2 linked regions of the Tribolium castaneum genome follow. The protein of the gene in region 1 interacts with the protein of each later gene in a pairwise test. Links are inferred from orthologs where the notes say so. Each region holds a gene or a part of one and is shown in the gene's direction. Other genes may lie near its edges.

Region 1 (2,922 bases):
ACCAATCAAAATCAAGATCCAGAAAGACAAGATCCAGCAAATGCCGAACCCTATCAAGATAAAAATCCCGAAAGACGTGATAAAGACTGAGGAGAATCCAGCGCCGGCGCCGCCACCAATCGGTCTCAAAATCAAGATCCCGCGCGAAATCATCAATAACTGCAATCCGGAAAGCGAGAAAAGCCGGAAACGGGAGCGGGATCGCAGTAGTCCGGCCGACGGCGGCCCCCCTGCAAAGCTCTCCCGCAGCAAGGACTCCAAACAGAACGGGAGACATTCGTATAATAAGGTAAGCGAATATAGTAAGAGTAGTGCGATGGGGGCGGTCGTTCCGCCCCCCGCCGCCCCCGCGTCCACCTATCACAGCGTGCCGCCGCCGATGTACACGCAAAACATGTACTATTATCCGCCGCATATGGGGGTGGGTCAGTATATGTATCCGGCCGAGAATCAGATGTACAATTATTATAATGGGGGATACGCGTTTCCGCCGCCGGAAATGTATCAGCAGGCGCCGCCGCTGCCGCCCCCGGCAGGGTCCAACCCGCCCCTGCCGATGGACGCGCCGCCGGACATACCGCCCCCACCGCCCCCGGAGTGATGTGTGCGATTTAGAGACACGATTTCGGACCTCGTGCTAGTTAAGATGACGTGATATATGAAGGGTTTAGAGAAATTTGTAAATAATTTATAAGAGTGCAATTTTTTTATCGATTTATACTTAGGATTGTACCGTGTTTTTGTTATTTTTCTGGTAGATATTACTTTGTTGAATTGTATCTATGTAGTTTATCTTGTAATTTTAAGCACTTTTTATAGTCTTAACACACTCTTTTATTTATTAATTCAATAAATAAGTCGACAATGAAGGAGATTCTTTTTTTGACGTGACTTGTGTAGTTTGTGCATGTGTTTTCATTTTCTGTTTGTTTTTGTGACGCTCATTGCATGGTCATGACTAACTCTGTCCACTACTAACGTGACCGGCTTACGTGTGAATGTTGGACCTAGCAAGGTCATTATATGGTTATTTGGTGCTTTGCAGGTGACACAACTGGGTGATGGCGATGCGTCCATACATAGGTTGGCCGAATCTAAGTATATCAACAAGAGTTCATCGTAGTAATTGCGACAAACGTTAACTATCATGTGTTAAAATCAGCCTAATGTATATAGTAGAAAACTTTTTTTAATTTAGAAAAAAATGTTTTAGATTTTTTATGTTTATATAATGTAATGGCTGATTGCAATACTGTTACTCTATTTTGTTAATTAAATTATTTTGTACGACCTCTCATTTTGTTATTAATAAATACTCAAAAGTGAAATTCGTTTAGTTTTATTTTATCACGGGTGGAAGCGGCTTTTCTGCGAGCGAAAATATTGCAGTCATGCCATTATTCCCCCCGATTTTTCTTGTTAGGAAGTTCGGCCTAAATCTTGTTATATTTAGATAGTGCCAACTGTCTTGTACAGCATTTTGGTCATTAGGTGATTCATGTAACCACATCTAAACATCATTCTCATGTGGAACAATAACATGCGTGTGACATTTTATGTTCAGTGTATTTCTTGTGCTTCTTTTGGTTTTGTTGCTTATGTCCGACTGATTAGAAACAAAATTCTAGCATAGTTGAGTGTAAAACTTTGTGATCCAATGGACTGAAATCTTAGGATGTGTTGGATTCGTCATGTATACAAAAATTTGCAAATATTTTAACGAATTTAATATTTTTAAGGGATAAATTGTAAATAGTTAAAATTTTATTTGATAAGTATTTATTATTTTGTTATTAATATACGATATATACGAAAACTGCAATTCTGGAAACTTGTACCTAAACAAAAATGAGAAAAACGAGTGTGTTAGGAGCATTATTTTATATTGTATTACAAACGTATATTATAAATAAAAAACTTAAATCATTGGAAATAAATATTCACGCCCACTTTTTAAGTTAGTTGGAATGTTTATCGGGCTTAAACAATCTAAAAAAATATAAAAACAAAAAATTCTTCGAAAAATAACTTATGTATATAGTCCACACGTTTGCTGCCTGTGTTTCACTGTTATTGTTATTGTATTCACTCATTCTGTTATTGTCTGTTTTCCACAATACAAACATTGCAAGACTTTCTACAGCAGTTGATTTTCAATTTTACTCCACTTCGAGGTGGTGAACGTGTTAAGTAATAAGTAAATAGACACTAAATTTATAATATACTTCTCAACAAACATAAAATAGACAAATAAAGCTAATGCCTAACTGTCTCAATGTCATCAATAAAGTTTTTAAAACGATCGCAAGTGTTTGAATCACCCAATCCCCCAAAAAGCAATTTTACATCTTTAACAATACCATCGATACGCTCATTTGGATGCGTTAATAATTTTCTACTTGCATAAATACTATTTATTAAATTATGAGCGTTTGTTCATGTTTAAATTAGAATGGTGTCTGGTGGTAATAACCAAAGTTACCAAAGGTTGGCACTTTTTGTGGGATTCCCACCCGCGAGTCACGCCTGGGGACTAGACGATATTAGCAAATAAGTTTTTATGAGAAATTCGGGAAACGTGAAACTTGTTTATTATTGAAGAACTAAATTGTTTCATACGTGTACTATTGTTTAATTTTGTAATGTATAACCTTAGCCTGTATTTCCTAATTGGATTATTCACACAGTATTATTTGTCTGTAATTTTTTTCACAATGCAAAGCAAAAAGTCTGATAAGAGCGAACCATTTTTAACCTCACTTTGTGTTTACTACAAGCGTCAACAATTTCTTAGAATTTATTGATAAACTGTGCATTTCTGTCGAATTCAGTTGTGCATAAGGTGCGTTAGTGAGTTTACAAATTAAATTAGGCCAATTATGGCAAATAGGACCGTAAAAGATGCCAAATCAATCCATGGCA
Region 2 (4,238 bases), on another chromosome or scaffold:
TTATAGTCCTTCGTTTCGCCCCACTTATGGCTGTGGACTATTTTGCAAGACCCACTCTTGGGTTGTTTTAGCGCAATATAGTCTACACCTATAAAGACCACTCTCAACCATTAACCCTCTACGGCCCACTGCCAATAAAATCACAAAACTGATCCTTCTCATCCCTTCAACTGACCACCCTCATTACGTAAAGAATGTAAATACCACCGCAGAGCCAACTGCGGAGGAATTTACGCTAATTTCAAATGTATAGATGTTTGTTGTAGGGTTGTACAATAGTATAATCATCGAACTATGTGTGTAATTATTACGATTCATTTTAAACATAATATTTTCGGTTATTGTTTCGTATGTAATATTTTTTACTTAACTATAAATGTGGATGTGGATTTAATCTAACAATATTATATCACTGTATTTGACACATTCAGACAAAGAAATAAAATGTTTAACATTAAGCTGTTGGTTTTCATTCCCCCAGCACGCCGCAAGGAGGATTTGGATACGTAGTTATTTTAAGAAAAATGAAATGTTTTATTTGGTATAATTCAAGTGGCAGCTTACTTCAAGTTTCTGTCTCACAAGAAGCTTTCAGAAAAAAATTAAACTCAAGAATAATATCAACTGATAAATAATTATAAACCAATAAGCACAAAATATGAATGATCGCTAATTGCAAGCTCCCTGATTAATTATTCAACCATTAAAACCTTCATATTGAATTATAAATCGATCCTTCGGAGAGAAACAATATTATTCTCTTTCTTTAAGATTTATATCAGTTAGAAATTCTATTTATTTTTAAGTAGTACCGTTGAGGTGCCCTTCCAGTTAACAACAATTTAACAGTCTTGTTAGGCATTTTAAACATATTATTAGTCAAGCCAATTTTTGTCCGATTGGCGGTTACAGGGTTGCAACTCCTTCAAAACCTGCTACCAACTGAAACATTGATTCTGGATCACTTTGTATCAAAAATGAATACACAGACCAAAATTAGCTTGTCTTCAAAAAAGTTAATTTAGGAATTCCTTCTTACCTTTTGCTCCTGCGATGAAATTACACGCGAAGATGCTTCTTCCAAAGAAGGAAACGAAGGAAATAAGATGAAAACAGGAAGGACAAGGAAAAATATTAATTTTCACAATTCGACGACACTTGAATATAACGGCGGAGAGTTCTCAAAAATCTGAAAAGCTCTTACTTAAAATAGTGTTTCAAACACAAAACACAACGTCATGGTACCTTTTTTCCCTTTTTTCCGAACCCAGAGTACCATCAAGACACTTCAAGACCATGGAATATCAGCGACCTCTTCACAAAATGAAATTAAGTACTATTCGTAAACAGAAAACTGTAATCTTCTTAAATCAACAAAAGGCACAACAAAAAATATGATTAAGAACGCAAAAGTGTTAATATTGATTACTAAAGTCTTAATTTTTACGAATGATAATGATATTATCATTTCCTATTTTCTTTAAATAAATAATTATATAAATAAATTTGTTGGTTTACTGCGTTTGTAGTTAGAACATTTTGGTAGCAGTGCCAAAATGCTAAAAGTTATCAATTGGTGTTACAATTTGGTAGATTTTTTTTTAATTTCGATAAAATACTGTATTTTTCGAGCTGAAAACCATTCGCGAGCAGGCTCACCCAACCGCGCTTTTTTTCCGTGACATTGTCTATTGTCATATGTCATTCCTGGAGGTTATGTTTTGATTGTGTGTGTTTTTAGTGCAATTGTGATTCAGAAAAAAGCAGCGGAAATGCATTTAAGTACTTTAAATGTGGTGTTTTAAACCTTCACACGTTTCTTCTTAATTGACGAAAAACTGTGCTAAATATTGCCTTGTCTAAAGCTTGTGCAACGTTAGACAAGAGGCGATTTTGCAATCATGAATATGCGAGATAAAGAGAAATACATTGAAAATTTCCATTTCCCGTTCTGTGATGAATCGGAAAAATACGAGAAAATTGCGAAAATTGGCCAAGGAACGTTCGGGTAAGTGACTTAGTTGGGGTTACTTGGGGTCACATATTGTGCCCCATTTGTTGTATTTCTCCGATTGTAGTGAAGTGTTCAAGGCGAGGGACAAAAGTAATCCTAAGAAATTCGTAGCAATGAAAAAAGTGTTAATGGACAATGAAAAAGAGGGCGTAAGGGGTCATTAATTTTTTGCAAAGCTTTCAAACTTGTATTCTAGTTTCCAATCACAGCTTTGCGCGAAATACGAATTTTGCAACTATTGAAACACGAAAACGTTGTTAATCTTATAGAAATATGCCAAACTAAGGCTGCATACCGCAACAGATACAAGTCAACGTTTTATTTAGTGTTCGATTTTTGTGAACACGACTTGGCCGGGTTGTTGTCAAACGTCCACGTTAAGTTTAGTCTAGGAGAGATAAAAAAAGTAGTGCAACAATTATTTAACGGTCTGTATTACATACACAGCAACAAAATTCTTCATAGAGATATGAAAGCCGCCAATGTGTTAATTACAAAGAATGGTGTTTTAAAATTGGCCGATTTTGGCCTAGCTCGTGCATTTAGTACCAATAAGAATGGACTGCCAAATAGGTGAGTTCAAACAGTAAATTAAAAAATTGGTCACTAGTTTGTAATCTACTATTTCAGATTTACAAATCGTGTCGTTACGTTATGGTATAGGCCTCCAGAACTGTTGTTAGGTGAAAGAAACTACGGCCCCCCAGTTGATTTGTGGGGGGCTGGCTGTATTATGGCCGAAATGTGGACAAGGTCCCCCATAATGCAGGGCAACAGCGAGCAACAACAGCTCACTCTGATTTCTCAACTTTGTGGCACCATCTGCCCCCAGGTCTGGCCAGGAGTTGAGAATCTGGAGTTGTACAAGAAGATGGAACTCCCCGTCCAAAAGCGAAAAGTAAGTCCCGTAGGAACAAAGATCGCTTCAATTATAAGCCTAGAATATTTATTTAATCCTCTGTACGAGGTAATGTTTCCACCACGTTCTGAACTGTAGTTTATAAACCGTAATTATTTACATATAAATTCGGAAAAAATGTGATTAAACAAGATCACAGATTTTATTTTTATTATTATTATTTTTTAATCTTCTCCAGGTGAAAGAGAGGCTGAAGCACTACATGAAAGACCCGTACGCTTGTGATTTACTCGATAAGCTGTTGGTCCTCGACCCCGCCAAACGGGCCGATGCTGATACGGCCCTCAACCATGACTTTTTCTGGACTGACCCAATGCCATGCGATTTGAGCAAAATGTTAGCCACTCACACTCAAAGCATGTTTGAATATTTGGCTCCGCCGAGAAGACCGACACAAATGAGGCATCATTCGTTGCCAAGACCGACAACTTCCGCTGTGCAAGACAGCGGATACCAAGATAGGGTTTTTTAGTTGTAAGAAACACGGACATTGTGGTTATTTTCAAGTAATGTGGAAATTGTTTCTAAAGTGGAAACATAACTGAAGGTTTTTCGGGAACCCTAAAATTTGATGTTACTTTTTATTATCTTTTTGTAACGTTTAATATGATGTTACTTAGTTAACATAGCGAATAAACTGTGTAAAAACGCTTGGTGTTTTTTTGGGGTGGAATGAAATGACTTGTTAGTACATATTATATATTTTATTGGTTTGACTGCACTGCCATCCGGCCTTACAATTCAACAACATGGCACACTGTACATGTATCTGTAAAATAATATATATGTATCTGTACATATCTGTTAGCTTGTTTCATAGATCCTCTACATAGGTAAATAACATTCTTGAAGGAGAAACCTTCATTCAAGGCACTTCAATAATCATTGTCTTCTCTTCATTTAATTAGATGTAGTTTCCTACCCATTTCAAATTGTTCTAAATTAACGCAATAACATTGTAACTCTGTTGCTAATTTAGTTGAGCTTACCGAAAGTTTTGGCAAAAAGAACTGGTAAATAAAATGAACCACTCATAACAATGACCTTTCAGAATACTGATTACGAAACCGTAAAATTTTGAAGGCAAATATCACAGAATGCCCAACAAATTACACATTAAATCACATTTAATTGTAAAACATTGCGGAGGACGTCAAACTTAACAAACGAGAAATTAATCAATCATGGCATATTTACATTTTCGGGCGCGGTTAAATTTAACCCCTCCTTCACTTAATTAACTTAACATTAAATTGAATTTATCTAAGACATTCTGTATATACACAATAAATAACAATTCTTGTC

Evidence for each region.
Region 2: the proteins of CycT (region 1) and Cdk9 interact in a two-hybrid assay, tested with the Drosophila melanogaster proteins (2 studies listed by BioGRID). The link is inferred for Tribolium castaneum from reciprocal best matches to the Drosophila melanogaster genes CycT and Cdk9.

Annotation. Positions count from the first base shown.
Region 1 is NC_087396.1:19,989,627-19,992,548, reverse strand, and holds the end of CycT (cyclin-T), read left to right. Parts: coding exon 1-601; 3' UTR 602-1,045; coding exon of another isoform or gene 1,046-1,123; 3' UTR 1,124-2,303; downstream 2,304-2,922. Other genes in the region: Prp38 (pre-mRNA-splicing factor 38), read left to right, coding at 2,880-2,922. UniProt on the Drosophila melanogaster protein: Regulatory subunit of the cyclin-dependent kinase pair (CDK9/cyclin T) complex, also called positive transcription elongation factor B (P-TEFb), which is proposed to facilitate the transition from abortive to production elongation by phosphorylating the CTD (carboxy-terminal domain) of the large subunit of RNA polymerase II (RNAP II).
Region 2 is NC_087394.1:32,585,309-32,589,546, forward strand, and holds Cdk9 (cyclin-dependent kinase 9), read left to right. Parts: upstream 1-1,675; 5' UTR 1,676-1,901; coding exon 1,902-2,008; intron 2,009-2,078; coding exon 2,079-2,163; intron 2,164-2,210; coding exon 2,211-2,587; intron 2,588-2,644; coding exon 2,645-2,912; intron 2,913-3,111; coding exon 3,112-3,405; 3' UTR 3,406-3,583; downstream 3,584-4,238.